Anolis sagrei: one gene and its partner. The protein of the gene in region 2 binds, or shares a complex with, the protein of the main gene of each other region. Links are inferred from orthologs where the notes say so. Each region holds a gene or a part of one and is shown on either strand. Other genes may lie near its edges.

Region 1 (7,422 bases), on a different chromosome or scaffold from region 2:
TTCGCTTTGGCAAGGGGCTCATTTCAATTATTAATCTATATATATAAATTTCCTACTGGCGTCCAACGGGGAAGCAAAACTCTAAAACCTCTCCACAAAACTCTACCAAAATTGCCATGCCCCAAGGACAACCCACTAGGTACAAACTAATCCACTCTGAAATCAAAACCACACAACAACAACCACAAAAAACGGGAAAGCAACTGAGCATGCGCACTGGCGCAAACTCCCCGACGTGCGCGCACATATGGCCCCTCACTCTCCCCCCCTCGGCGCGGCACACACACATACACCCGCACGCGCGCGCCCCCTCACCCCCCCGGCGCGGCACACACACACACATGCGCGCGCACCCCCTCACCCCCCCGGCGCGGCACACACACACACACGCATGCGCCCTCACCCCCCCCCGCACGGCACATACACACACACGCGCGCCCCCCTCATCCCCCCCGCGTGGCACACACACACACGCGCCCCCCTCACCCCCCCCCCCCCGCGCGGCACACACACACGCCCCCCTCACCCCCCCCCCCGCGCGGCACACACACACACACGCCCCCCTCACCCCCCCCCCCACGCGGCACACACACACACGCGCCCCCCTCACTCCCCCCCCCGCACGGCACACACACACACACGCCCCCCTCACCCCCCCGGCGCGGCACACACACACGCCCCCCTCACCCCCCCCCCCGCACGGCACATACACACACACACACACGCGCCCCCCTCACCCCCCCGGCGCGGCACACACACACGCGCGCGCGCGCCCTCATCCCCCCCCCCCGCGCGGCACCCTTTCTAAACCCATCCCCCCTCCCTTCCTCCCTCTTACCCCTCACGTTACCTCCAAGCCACGCCCCCTTCTAATCTGTCAAGGAAGAAGGGAGAGAAAGAGGGAGGGAAAGAAAGAAGGAAGGAATGAGGTAGAAAAGGAAGAAAGGAGAGAAAGAGGAAGGGAAAGAAAAAGGGGGGGGAGGAAGGAAAGTTAGAGAAGGAAGAAGAGAAGGAAAGAAAAAAGGGAAAGAAGGAAGGAAAGAAGGAGCGAAGGAAGGGGGGAAGATGTAGAGAAAGAGGGAGGGAAAGAAAGGAAGAAAGAGAGAAGGAAGAAAAGAGAGATTGCAGAAGAGAACAAGGAAGAAGGAAGGAAAGAGGGAGCGAAGGGAGGGGGGAAGATGTAGAGAAAGAGGGAGGGAAAGAAAGGAAGAAAGAGAGAAGGAAGAAAAAAGAGACAGCAGAAGAGAAAGAAAAAGGGGGAAGGAAGGAAAGCGATAGAGAAGGAAGGAAGGAGAGAAGGAAAGACGGGAAGGAAGGAAGGAAGGAAACAGGGAGTGAAGGAAGGAGGGAAAGAAGGGGAGATAGGGGGAAGGTTGGCCACAGCAATGTGTGGCGGGTACAGCTAGTATTAAATAAAATTGCTGGAATCGGGCTTCTCTGAAGGCTTGCCAAGGTAGCGTTCCCTCTTTGGTGGGAACTAAGGGTCATCTCCCCTTGGAGTTGACCTCCCACCCTAAAGTCTAGTTTGGCTTCACCAGTGCTGGGCCAGGCCAGGCCAGGTGGGTCCCACCCAACGCAGTGTAGCAGCCTGTGTCATCCCTGCCTTGTGCCCGTCTGCATTGGGAGATGAGTCAGAAGCCAAGCCACTTTTGAGACCCCGGTTCAGAAATGCCTTCTGCTCCAAACTTGAAACGGGCAGGAAGGGAGAAGCAACTGGAGGAACGCAAGCCATGATGCCACAAAGCTGACAAGGAGAGAGAGAGAGAGCCAAACACCTCCACCCATTTCCAGGAACTGCCAGGGGTCATTTCCCCCAAAATCTTCAAGAACAGGCCAACGTCTCCTCAAGTTCCATCATTTGATCCCCACTCCAAAGGCATCAGATCCCGTCTGATCCTGGATGAAAAGCAGGTTCTGCCTGGGTGGGTCTCCTGGGGGTGACCTTTCAGAGGAAGGAAATCACCTCCTTGGATGAAATGCGTGGGGCTGGCACCAACACACACGTGGCCTTGACACCCCAAAACACTGAGTCCTGTCTGGTTTGGGGAGTTAAGCAGTGTCAGCCCTGGTTTGTAATTGGGTGGGAGACCGCCAGGGAATCCCAGGTTCTGTAGACTGCGAGTTGAAGGAAGGGACTGGCCAAGCCACCTCTGGGTCTCCCTCGTCAAGGAAATCCCATTGAAATGCTTGGGGTGCCTATCAGTCAGGAGGGGACTTGAAGGCCCAGACCCACACGATGCCGGACCTTGGTCTCTTTCCTCCAATTTGGATGGCCAGCTCCTGGAGGATGCTGGGAGTGACAATCCCGGAAGCAGCTTCCCCAAGGCCAGGAGGCCTGTCTGTGAATCCCAGGTGCCGTATTTACTTGAGTCTAACACACCATCGACTCTAATGCGCACCTCAATTTCCAAAACCCTGAAACCAAAATAGAGTATTTGCTGACCAACATAATGTTTAGCGGCGAAAGATGCACTCTTTGTAGTTTGGCCCCAAAAGGTGCGCATGAGAGTGGCTGCCTGATTAGGGTTCCTTCGTTAAAAACAGAACGGGAGGGAGCGCCAGACCGTCCAGCAACGGAACTGTCTTGGTTCAATGCCATGGAGTCATCTAATTTGACACGGTTTTGAGCCTTCTTGGCCAAAGAATGCTGATGCCTCACCAAAGTCCACATTCCCAGGTGACGTGGCCATTCAAGTAGAGGCGAGGCCAATCAAAGAGGAGCTCCAGGGGGTCCTGAAGCCATTCTAATATGTCACCACCCTAATTTTGGCAATGCCATTGAGCCAGAAAACAGAAAGCATTAGATTCGAGTAAATAAAACATTGGCGGCAAAAAAAGCCAATGGGATTTTGGCCTGCATCAAGAGGAGCCTAGTGTCTAGATCTAAGGAAGTGATGCTCCCCATGCTCTATTCCGCCTTGGTTAGACCACACCTGGAATATTGTGTCCAATTCTGGGCACCACAATTCAAGAGAGATATTGACTCTAAGCTGGAATGTGTCCAGAGGAGGGCGACTAAAATGATCAAGGGTCTGGAGAACAAGCCCTATGAGGAGCGGCTTAGGGAACTGGGCATGTTTAGCCTGAAGAAGAGAAGGCTGAGAGATGATAGCCATGTATAAATATGTGAGAGGAAGCCACAGCGAGGAGGAGGGAGCAAGCTTCCTTTCTGCTTCCCTGGAGACTAGGATGCAAGGGAACAATGGCTTCAAACTACAAGAGAGGAGATTCCATCTGAACATGAGGAAGAACTTCCTGACTGTGAGAGCCGTTCAGCAGTGGAACTCTCTGCCCCGGAGGGAGTGTGGTGGAGGCTCCTTCTTTGGAAGCTTTTAAGCAGAGGCTGGATGGCCATCTGTCAGGGGTGATTTGGATGCAATATTCCTGCTTCTTGGCAAAATGGGGTTGGACTGGATGATGGCCCAGGAGGTCTCTTCCAACTCTTTGATTCTAGGATTCTATGAAATAGAGGATTTCTCAGACAGGAAAGGGCACCGCGTCCTCTGAAGGTTCCTTGCCCAAGAAAAGCCCCCCTCTAGATCACTCTACGTCCGCAGGCGACTTGGAGGCCCAGAACAAGAATGCCTCTGGCCTTCCTGACCCATTGCTGAGCCCCTCCCATTTCCATCCCACAGGCCCCCTTGCCTCCGCAAATCCGGGCCCTTCCAAAATGGGGCAATGTGTGCCTTGTGGGTGTTAGTGGGGCGCCCATCCCAAGACCTTCTTCCACCTTTCCATGCAGGCTGAAAGGGGGGGTCCTTCCATGGGGGGAGTGTAAAGGCCGGCCTATGTGTATATTGGGATGTTGGGGGGCGGGGAAGGAGACCGGGCGTCTTCTCTCCCCGCATTCTGGGCATGGAGGAAACCGGATCCCGGTGTCAACAAATGAGGCCGGAATATTCGGGATGCAAGGAGGCAGCTGGGGAGGGGGCTCGGCATGGCATGCGAGGGGGGTGGGTGCTCGGCATGCCTTCCCCCCGGGGGCCCTCCCCACGGCAGAGACCTCAGTGCAGGGGCCAAGGGAGCAGACCCCCTCTTCCCCCTCCCCCCAAGGAGGGAGACCACCCAACCCTGCGGCCTCCTTCTCCATATGGGGAGGGTCTATTTTTACCCCTCCGAGGATGGGGCTGCCGTCAGTCCCTTGCCATTCACTCAAGTCAGGCCAAGGGTAGGATTTCGCTCTCCCTGAGGGTCCCACACACACACGCACTCACACACACATATCTGCACAAGACACAGCCAGGAGTGGCTTGGCTAAATTTGGTAAAATGCCTGGCCGGCCAATGAGCAGCCGAGGAGGAAGGCCATTGGCTGACCAAAGAGCCACCTCCCTTGGTGCCCAATGAGGGCAGTGTGGGCGGAGCCGTGCCCAGTTGTCCAGGTATAAAAGGCCGTGCCAGAGCCTCGGACGGAGCGGTTTGCCATCTGACCCGGAGAAGCAGGTGTGGGACCCGTCGTCGTCGTCACCAGTGGCCCTTCTCTCTCTCGCTCTCTCTCAGTGGGGTGCCCTTAGCCTGCCAACATGGTAAGACCACGGGTTAGGGTTAAGGTTGGGGTTTGCATGGTCAAGGAAGTGGTTTGCATGGTCAAGGAAGGGCGGTTGGGGCTGGACATGAGGGCAGAAGATGGCAAGGGACAGGGCAAAGGTTACGGTGAAGCTGAAGGACTCTCTGGTTGAAGCTGTTGGTGGTGGGGTCATTGCAAGGAGTGGAGTGGGGCATTTGGGTCTGGGGGAGGCCGATGGGGCCAAGGAGGGTCTCAGAGTCATCGAAAGGAGCAGAGCCAAGAGTCCCCTTGGCTGGGTCAGATCCTCTCCTTCAGGGTGGACAGCTCCGAACTCTACAGCCGTGTGGGCTGGACGGGTCTGGCTTGGGAGTCCAGCCAAGGACGCAGCAGCAGGGAAAGCGAGCTGCCGGTCACAAGGAGGCTTCATGCTTGCCCACCCACCCACCCGCCCGCCCACCAGAGACGAAGCCCCAAGGAGTAACCCGATCCGAGGCCGACAGGTGTTGCGTGGAGCAGCTGGTGTCCAGCCCTGGCTCCCTACAAGGCCCGAGCCCGGGGGCCACGGCTAAGAATAGCCCGGGATCAAGGAGGAGCGCCCTCCCCCCCATCGCCACAGGCGCCTGAAGATCCAAGTGGACAATGGCATCTGGCCGGAGAGGACGAGGAGGAGGAGGAGGAAGAGGAGCAAGGCCAGGATGGAGCAAAGCAGCCATGAAGCCTCCAGAAAGGCCACCCAATGGAAGCCAAGTTATCCTGGACTTGCCCAAGGGACCGGACAGACCCCACTTTGCAAAGGCTGCCCTGGAATGGGATGCTTTGGGGCATTTTTGAGCCAATGATGTCCACCTTGGCCACATGACTGGCCGGTCACCCTGGTCCACAAGGGCCTGGAGCATCTCTGCAGGGAGATGCCTGGAGGCAGCAGCCTAGTTCTGTGCGGGGAATTCAAGTCCATCTTTCTGGCCAAAGCCAGTGAAGCCCTATAAGAGCCAAGGGATCTTTGGTGGTCCACAGAGAGGGGCCCAATGGGGACAGGGAGGGAGTCTGGCCGTCTGTCGGGAGGGGTCAGGTGTTGCCCTTTCCTGGACTTTGTGCTTGCCTTGCAGACGGACCAGCAGGCGGAGGCCCGGTCCTACCTCAGCGAGGAGATGATTGCTGGTGAGTCAAAAGGTTGGAGATGGGGTGGTGTCTCTGGGGGCAAGGAAGCCTGGCTTGGCCCTGGGTCAGGGGAGAAAGCCCACTCATTGGAGGGCCAGCAGTGACCTGGGTGGGTCAAGCGCTTGACCATTGCCGTGGCCAGAGCAGCTCCCTCACAGGACTCACTCCGCAGCCTGGCTGCCTGCCTTTCTCCCTTGCGGAGCCACAGAGAAAGCAGCTGGACATCCATCCATGAAGCTGACCAATGACAAACAGTCCCAGGGGTGGACAGAGGGTGACACGACACCAGGCCCTGAGAGCATCCCCAGTGCAGAGGGAAAGGTGCCGCAATCCCTTACAAAGAGGCAGCGGAAATCCAACTGGTGTGAGGGCAAAGGCCTTGACGGAGGGAGCAAGGGGTCAGAGGGTCAAGTGCTTGACCCTTGCTAGGGCCCCTTCTGCCTAGCCCTGACCTTCTTGCCCCCAATCCCCAGGAAGGCTTTGGAAGGGAAGGAGCAGGTGGAAGGGGCACCCAAAGGCCACCTAGCCCAGGTGCCTTGAGAAGGGCATTCCTTTCCTGGCAGAAGGGGGTCAGACTAGGTGGCTCCTGGGAGCCCTTCTTGCAAGATAATTCACCATGGCATCCAATGACAAACAGCCCCAGGAATGGAAAGAGGGGGGGGGGAAGAGAGTGACCAGACATCAGGCCCTGAGAGCATCCCCAGTGCAAAGGGGGTCGGAGGGTCAAGTGCTTGACCCTTGCTAGGGCCCCTTCTGCCTAGCCCTGACCTTCTTGCCCTCAATCCCTGGGGAGGCTTTGGAAGGGAAGGAGCAGGTGGAAGGGGCACCCAAAGGCCACCTAGCCCACCTCCCTTCTCAGAGGTGCCTTGAGCAGTGCGTTCCCTTCCTGGCAGAAGGGGGTCAGACTAGATGGCCCCTGGGAGCCCCTTCCAGCAAGACAATTCTGCCGAGAGCCACAGCTCCACCTTGCCATTCCCGTCCATGCCATTTCCCTTCATTATTATGGGTTGTTTTTACTGCCTGCGTTTCCAAGGGGCCTCAGGGAACTCACAGTTGGGGGGGGGGGGATGCCAAAGATAGAAACAGTTAAAGGCAGGTATGGGCCATCTTCGGGCCTCTCTCCATGGGTGTTAAGCAGCTGAGATGGAAAGGAAGGGGCCTGAGGCTGTGGGGAATGATGGGAGTTGGAGTCCAACACCCATGGAGGGAGGGAGGGCCCAAATTGGAGGAGACGCTCAACTTCTCTTGAAGTTGCCCAAAGGCCAGGCGGAAAGACACTATCAGATCCCTCCTGACAGATAGGCATGCATCCATCCATCCTCTGCTTAAAAACCTGTAGCAAAGGGGAGAGAATCCTGGGGTCCTAGAGAAGGAAGGGACCCCAAAGGCCATGCAGTCCCACCCCCTTCAGCCAGGCAGGAAGATGATTCAACCCCTCCCAACAGATTATGACCCAGTAATAACACTTTATTTACATTCTGTGATGAAATGAAAAGGATGTGTAGTTCTAGAAACTATGCCATGCAGACGAACAGTACATAACAAGTGGTTTACTCTTCGTAACTCAGAACAACATATGTACAATCCTGTGGTCAGTTGCATTAATTCACATAATGTCCTGTTATGAGAGATTTAGAAAGGTTTTTCTTTTGTCCACGTAGAGAAACTCCTTCAGCAGCTCGTGAAGCAAAAGCACACTCCAAACTCCGTCTCCCTCTGCTTCTCTACAAGCACCGGCATAGCTCAAGCCTGAAAAAT
Region 2 (7,775 bases):
ACTTTCCTGCCGAATATCAACTAAGTTGCTAAAGTTATATATAATCTTTTTGAACTATTTCATCCGAGCAGCCTGACCAGCTCTGTACTTTTTCTATGGAATTTCATTTTATTCTAACAACACTTTTCTTCTCTTTTCTCTCCTTTTCTTCTTGTGTCTATCTCTTTCTCTCCAACCAGAGAGGAGGTAAGTTCCCCCCCCCCCCTTTTAGCCCTTTTTGAAGTGGGTGGACATAGATAGAATTAAAGATCAATATGGTAACAATATGATGGAGCACCAATCCTGAAATAAAATCTTCCCATTGTGAAGAAGATCTCTCAAGGCTGAAACCATTAACTGGCAACCATAATTTATTTTCTCATCTCCTCATATTTTCCTATAAATTATCTCAAAACCTTTTCTCATTAGCCCACAATTCATGATGAAGATAAAACCTGCATCCCTATCTCTCAGGTCCCTTTCTACACTGCCCTACATCTGAGGATTTGATCCCAAATTGTCTGCTTATCCCAGATTATTTGGCAGTGAAGACTTATATAAACCATTCAAAGCAGATAATTTGAGATCAGATTCTGGGATATAGGGCAGTGTAAATCCAGCCTCAGAAAGTGTTGTTTGTCCAACATCTTCAACACATAGAGCTCACAAACATGAACCACATATCTTTTTGATGTTCAAGCCATTCCTTTAAGCACGCCCTAATACCTGTCATAAAAATATGCATGAAATAAGAGATAGCTCAGTTGAGCAAGCTATGGCTCATGGCTTCTTTCAGTCTTATTACTGAGGCTACCATTGTAATAAGCAATTTAGTATTCCTGTTTGTCCTTCTGTTAGCAGCCTGCTGTTGTGTGCCTTCAAGTAATTTCCAACTTATGGCAAACCTAAGGCAGTCCTATCATAGGGGTTTCTTGACAAGATTTGTTCAGGGGGGCTTTACCTTTCAATTTCTTTGCAGTTTAGAGAATGTGACCTGCTTAAATGGGTTTCCATGACCAAGTGGGGATTCAAATCCATATCTTTGGAACTGGAGTTTAAGGTTCAAATCACTACATGCTAACTTTACCAGCCTAGATGGATATTCCTATAGCTCTTACTAAAGAGCCAATGGGTTAGAATCTCAGGAATGAATTTTACCAGAAGGTTTATTCCTGCATTTTGAAGGTGACAATATTGCCTGCCTAGATCATGTCATTTCATTCTGTAGAAGGGTAATGAAAGCTGAGACAGGCACAGCTGAAACTAACAGCAAACCTCTCCTTCATTTTTCATGAGGTTTAGGAGACTAAAAAATACTTTGTGCGCCTTAAGAAAGTTTTTGGCAGAACAACTGATTGATTGATTTTGCTTTGCTCAAACTTTGTTATGTAATCTAGAATCTATTCAAAGGGACTTAGCACAACCTGGACATGTCCTCCTTCAAGTTGAGTTGTTTCGTTTATTCCATGGCACTGAGCCAGCAACATCACTGATCCTTTATGTTCACTGGGTATGTGACTTTTCTGAGGTTGTCATAGGCTTTAACTCACATCTAGAGAGAGCAATAGTATGAATCAGGTTCAATAATGGTGTGATTCCTTGTCACGCCAGAGATCCATAGGCATGTAAGAACTTCCTACCATAACAGATGTTACTTGGACCCAAACATTGGGGGAATATATATGCTGGAATCCTATTGGTTAGTCTAACTGGACAATAATAATATTGCACTGCCAGTCTTACATGTTGAAGGGAGCATCCCTTGTTTATTTCTTGATATGCTCACTAAATCCTCTTTTTGATCTGATATCTAAGGCAGCTTACCTGAAAAGCAAGTATCATTCTGATCAGTTCAACACTATTAAAGATATCTTATTTAAACTTCTAAACTAAATCAATACACCAGTACCAGAGAATAAACAGACAAAAAGTCTACAGTATTGATTAGTATGCTATTCCTGAAAGGATTTGTAAAGGGAAAAATGTGATTTGGCAGCCTCCTAGCTGACAGGCAATAAAGAGATTTGAATCCTTGGAGAGTTAGTTTCATACTGAAGGGGAAACCACTGAAAAGACACTGCTTTTTATAACCACCTTCTAGGCCACTGAAATTCAGGAAAGTTGAGCCCAACTTGTTGATATGAATATCATAAAATAGTTCTTTATTTTATTTACTCACCACAATCTCCACAGCTAAGTCAGTACTGAATCCCATCCCTATAAATTTGAATTGCACACTAAAAGAGTTATTATCCAGTGAGTTTCTATAAGACTCATTTCCAGACTCATTTCAGAGCATGCATAAGAACATTCATGATAGATTTGACCAAAGCCTATTGCAGTTGAACCAAGTCTTTCCACTGACTTTAGAAGATAATTCTAAAGGCCAAATTGTGATCTGGGGCTGTCCTCATACTGTGGCAACCTTATCAGGTTTCTTAAAACTAGCATGACTTGGACTGGAGGTCCTCCAATGAAAGTACAGCTGGTGGCACATAAATTATTTGGAATGTGAATCACTATTCCCTTTGCACCAAGGCATCACAGACAGAATGCACCATTATCCCAGGGAGCTAATGTGCCGATGTAAAAGATTTGATTACCAACATTTAATGAAAGACCCTGATATCTATATGTAGCTTGCAGGTGGGGGAAATATGGATACATGCAGCACCAGGGTTCAAAATAATTTGTGGAAGATATGTTTTTGTGCCCCACCCCCAATGTCTCCAATATTTTATTCTAGCAGCAAGGAAATAGGAAGTAGACTTCTGTATCACTTCCTCATATAAAAAGGGGCCTCCTTTGGGCCTAAAATGGCTGGGAAGGAAAGTGGCATAGCAAAACTGCAGGGTGTATCTCTCATTGGCGAAGGCCAATGTAACCCTTTGGGCACCATGGTGTGCCGGTTGTTAGCCACCCTGAATCGCTCTGCAGAGTTCGAGATAGGACGGGATACAAATGTCCAAAATAAATAAATAAATTTAATTCCTCAATAGCTGACAACTCCTGATTGATCTGTACATTGAAGTTGTGTCAAAATACCAGAAATTTTCCATACAGTAGATTGAGGGCATGGGGTGGTCCCAAGGCTGTGAGGGATATGGTCCCTTTTTGTTGTTGTTCTTGTTTTGCTTCATTAGAAAGGCATGGTCATGCTCTTAGAGTTTCTGGTTTTGAAAAGTTGTAGGATATGCTCTGAGTATAAGACATACATGCTATGATCCAGCAAGGATAAGCTAAGAGTAGCATTTTCATATTTTTTACCTTGCAGAATATAGGTGGTAGAAAACTGTCAAAACATTCCTTCCCAGGAACGGCTGAGTATGTAACACATAACAGCATTTTTACATCCCAAACACATCACCAAAGAGTGTACTACTAGCACAATCCACATTTCTTCCGCTGTCTCTTGGTTCTTCCATTGCTCCCAAACTGCTTTTTTCCTTATAGTGGAGATTGGCAAATTATGCCCCCCTCCCCCCCCCCCCACTAATGTGCTAGTTATTGTTATCCAGCATCTGGAGGGCCTTAATTGACCAGATTTTGCCAGATGTTGGTGAATTGCTAGGAATAATACCCTAATATTTAGAGAGCCACACTTTGCCACCTTTGCTTAAGGCATACAACGATTGTCTTTTGGGCATTGCTTTTTAGCCTGCATTCTTCTCCCCGATCTCTTGTAAAAATCTGGAACCATGCATTCCTAAACAGGTGATGAAGTCTGATCTGTTAATTATAATTTTGGTCCTTTGCCCATTTGGCTTCAGTCATCAGTCTTTGATTATTATGATTCTAGAATTTTAAGCAGTGTTCTAAATAAATGCTTTATGAGAACCAGCATAATAAAGTGGTTTGAGTGCTGGACCACTTTGAGCACAATCTTTCAGCCTTAGAAGAAAGCAATGGTAAACCCCCGCTGAATAAATCTCACCAAGAAAATCTTCATATAGGATCACCCTAAGTCCACTTGAAGGCATATTACAACAAATTATTTTAATTGGACTGATTGCTGAATGCTTTAAAATGTATTACATATTGTTTTAACTTTCCTGTTTTAACTTATGTCATAAGCCACTTTGGATCTCATATTATTAAAGGAAGGTACCATTTAATTTTGTTGTTGTATACCCCCCGTGATTTCTGATTTGGCAAACCTATCAAGGGATTTTCTTGGCAGAATTTGTGTTATCCTTGCCTTCTTCTGAAGCTGAGACAATGTGATTTGCTCCAGGCCTACCAGGTGTGGTAGACTTCCATGGCCCCCACTTCTAAATGGGGATTCGGACCTTGGTCTCCCAGTGTCCTAGTCTAACACTCAAACCACTGCACCATATTGACTCTGCTATCAATTAATTAAACTCTGATTATTTTATTTCTTTATTGGTTTATTTTGCTAACCAGTTGGGTTCTTCCTCTCTATTATATGTCTCTCTTGGTATAGCATTTCAGGAACTGGATCAGTTGGTAGAATAAGCCAGGCAGTTGTGTTCTCAAAGCCTCTTAACCCTGAGACCTCAAGAGACTGCACTTTGGGCTCTAGGGTTTAGTGAAGCCAGTTCTAATAGCTGATATCCTTATTGTAGCAATGCTGCCTTCTTCTCAAGGACCCTGGGTCTAATCACCACTGTTTGCTCTGAGGAAGGGGGACAAGATCAAAAATAGAATAGGCAGAGAAAGAGGATACAGTTAGAGACCTTCTTCAGCCACAAAGACGATTGTTTTAATTCCATCCCACATTTGCATGGAGGTAGAAGAGGGGATCCTTAGGAAAGGCACATGGTTTATGGAAAGATCACTTCAAACACTGTTTAACCCAATTCTTTCTCATTTTCTTTGTATTTCAGAAAAAGAAAAGGGCAATTACTGCCCGCCGGCAGCATCTCAAGGTAACTACTGATTCTTGTGAGTCATAACAACAGATTTGATTCTCAGCCCAACTGATTTCTTCTTGTTTTGGAGAAGAGATGTGGTTTGTAAGAATAACCCCAAGTTCCCTGACATTCATCTTTCAGACTGTCGGGTAAGAGTGTCCTGTCTTCAACAGCACTGCTTGCCATCTATAGAAAGAAAGAAAGAAAGAACTAGTCTGAATGTTCAAAATTTTGCCCATTTCTATTAGTCATTTATGGGGTGCTCTAAATTTTCTGGGGGTTTCCACCCCATTTTTGAAACCAGGACCATCAGTTCAGGCTGCAGTGTAGAACACAGACCTGGTCTGAATATGTAGGGGTGCCACCTCTCATTTTAATATCATTATAGGTGCTAAGCCTACTATGTATTCACTTACTACCCCAGCATCTTCTCTTCCCAAGAGCTCTTTGCCCAGCTCATGACATTTCTGATATGAGAGATGCTTTCAAAATGAAAGAAAAATTATTGAAGAGAGAAACCACACTGAGGTAAACCAAAAATATGGGAAAGAGTTCCTTACCTTGGCTAAAAGCCAACAACTCTTCTTTCCACATGGATGGACCAGTTAGATGTGGAATGAAATGCAACTTAGCTTGATCTGGAATCCAATAACAATAGTTTTAATTTGGCACACCCATTAACTGGCACTAAGTAGCTGTGACTTGCCCAATGAATACATAGCAGAAACTAATTGTAAATACAGTGTGTATCTACTGCACAGTTCAAACAGTTTCAACACCTCTTTAGCTGTCATGGCTCCATCTTGAGAAATAATTTGGTGAGGTTCTCAGAAATCTCTGCTATGGAGCTCTAGCACTGAGGTTCAGGACCAGAGCTCTCTAGCAGAAAATTCCAAGTATCTCACAAACTACAAACCCCAGGATTCACTAGGGTGAAGAAAGCTAAGATGGTATCAAATTTGTTTAACATTGCAGTGTTGATACAAATATAATCTTACAATTTACCCCAAAAGAACTTCTGGTTTTATCTTGTGCTATTTTACATGCCATGCACACACTCATAATGGTGTTTCTCCCACTTCTGTTCTCATAGAGTGTTATGCTCCAAATTGCTGCTACTGAACTTGAGAAAGAAGCAGTTGCCAAAGAACAAGAAAAAGCTGACTACCTGGCAGAGCACTGCCCACCTCTTCAACTCCCAGGTTCCATGCAGGAACTGCAGGTAATGATTTGATCTGCCCACTCCCTTTTACCATTATAGAATCATAGAGTTGGAAGAGACCTCATGGGCTATCCAGTCCAACCATTCACTGATACACAAAGACAGATAGGGCTGATTCCAATTCCCCTCAGATATTGATCTACCATTTCCATAATTCCTCACCACTGGATCTGATGGGAACTGAAGTCCAACAACATCACCAAGAGACTCACAGGTTCTCCAATCAGGCTTCAATTCTCAAACCTCACTTGGAATTCTGTGGCAGACATCTGGTAGGGTTGCCAGAATTATACTTTGGGCAAAGTTAAGCAGTATATATTACAGTCAATGGGGGAGGTGACTAAATTTGAGCATTATTCACCCAATAGATATCCTGCCCCCAATGAAATTTTCCTTCAGCTCACAAATGCAAATCCAGATGGTAGTTTTGTAAATTGTTTTGCAAGCATATACAAGAGCCTCTCTCTCATTTTGGAGTTGACCAGTGAACAATGGGATATCTTGGGTTTGTGGATTACATGACTGTAGGATACAGTATACAGTACTTATGGCAGTGTGGATTTGTGCTACGGGTATATGTTGTATTTAGAAAGAGGAATCTACCAGGATTTTGCTCTGGGAGGGGAATCGGAATATTGCCCTTCAAAAAAGAATTCTGCTCTTCAAATGATTTTTTTCAGTCCCACCTTTCTAACATTTGAGAGCAAGACATTGTCCATGCCTAATACCCTTGGCAACTTTGGCTTTTCCTTGCAATGTCTAAGCTGTTTTTCCTAGATGATCAACTAAAGTTTTAATGTGCTGCAATGCTGGAAATTTGGGAATGGAAGTTGTGGAGTGAGGGGTGGGGAGAAAATTCTTAATTTCAGGAGGGCAATGCTATCACTTTGCCCCGTCCTAGTTGCTACATCCTTGTGAATGAACTAAATAAAGGTATTCAACAAAAGTCCTATGTTGCTATGCACCAGTAAGACTTGGGCAAAATTCAGGGTGATTGGAGTATCTGTTGTTTAACAAAACTGGATCAAATGCATAATCTTTGGAGATCTACAAAATATATCCTGCCGTAACTTCTGCTATGCTGATCTAGGTGTTTTAGGAGCATGTTATGTAGAGTGTTCAGTAGTCATTTTGTGTTTGCTATCCCCCACTACTCACACCCCAATCTGACTCATTAAGAAAGCTTTCTACTTGGTTTAGGTTTTCAGATTTTAAAGAAATAAACCTTACTGTAAACTCACTATGAAAATGCCTGAAATCACCTGAGTCAACACATATGTTTCCCTGTAGAGGGCTGGAAATGTTGGTAAATGAAATGCAGAATACATGTCTTAAGCAACCTTCTTTTATAGTCTGTACTTGTTGCTCAACAGGAATTCTGCAAAAAGCTGCATGCCAAGGTAGAGGAAGTTGATGAGGAAAGATATGACACAGAGATGAAATTACAGAAAACTACCAAAGAGGTAATGTTTTTTAACTAACACATCCAAATCTGTTTTATTTTAAAAGTTTAAAAAGGAACCCAGGAATCCTTTGAGACTAACTGGGCAATTTCTTCTTTTCAGTTGATTCCAAATGTGCTACTTGACTTTTCTATTGCTTGTTATGCTAATGTAACACACTTATTTCTTTCAATAGTAAGTGTAGGTGTGATTTTGGAATATCATTGTATGTTCGTATGTTTCCATTTCTGAGTATGC

What was found.
Region 1: the proteins of TNNI2 (region 2) and TNNC2 are in contact, whole or in part, in a crystal structure (PDB 1A2X), measured with the Oryctolagus cuniculus proteins. The link is inferred for Anolis sagrei from reciprocal best matches to the Homo sapiens genes TNNI2 and TNNC2. Residues at the interface, in NP_001076252.1 of Oryctolagus cuniculus: Glu5, Asn8, Arg9, Ile11, Thr12, Arg14, Arg15, Gln16, His17, Leu18, Lys19, Ser20, Val21, Met22, Leu23, Ile25, Ala26, Glu29, Leu30, Glu33; in NP_001076114.1 of Oryctolagus cuniculus: Ser13, Glu15, Met16, Ala18, Glu19, Ala22, Lys91, Leu96, Glu98, Cys99, Arg101, Ile102, Phe103, Arg105, Ile119, Phe120, Ala122, Ser123, Glu125, His126, Val127, Glu131, Ser134, Leu135, Asp138, Phe152, Met155, Met156, Val159, Gln160.

The regions. Positions count from the first base shown.
Region 1 is NC_090024.1:248,918,917-248,926,338, forward strand, and holds the start of TNNC2 (troponin C, skeletal muscle), read left to right. Parts: upstream 1-4,404; 5' UTR 4,405-4,522; coding exon 4,523-4,525; intron 4,526-5,612; coding exon 5,613-5,664; intron 5,665-7,422. UniProt on the Homo sapiens protein: Troponin is the central regulatory protein of striated muscle contraction. Tn consists of three components: Tn-I which is the inhibitor of actomyosin ATPase, Tn-T which contains the binding site for tropomyosin and Tn-C.
Region 2 is NC_090021.1:244,254,659-244,262,433, forward strand, and holds the start of TNNI2 (troponin I, fast skeletal muscle), read left to right. Parts: upstream 1-4,760; 5' UTR 4,761-4,868; intron 4,869-5,946; 5' UTR 5,947-5,952; coding exon 5,953-6,075; intron 6,076-7,448; coding exon 7,449-7,538; intron 7,539-7,775. UniProt on the Homo sapiens protein: Troponin I is the inhibitory subunit of troponin, the thin filament regulatory complex which confers calcium-sensitivity to striated muscle actomyosin ATPase activity.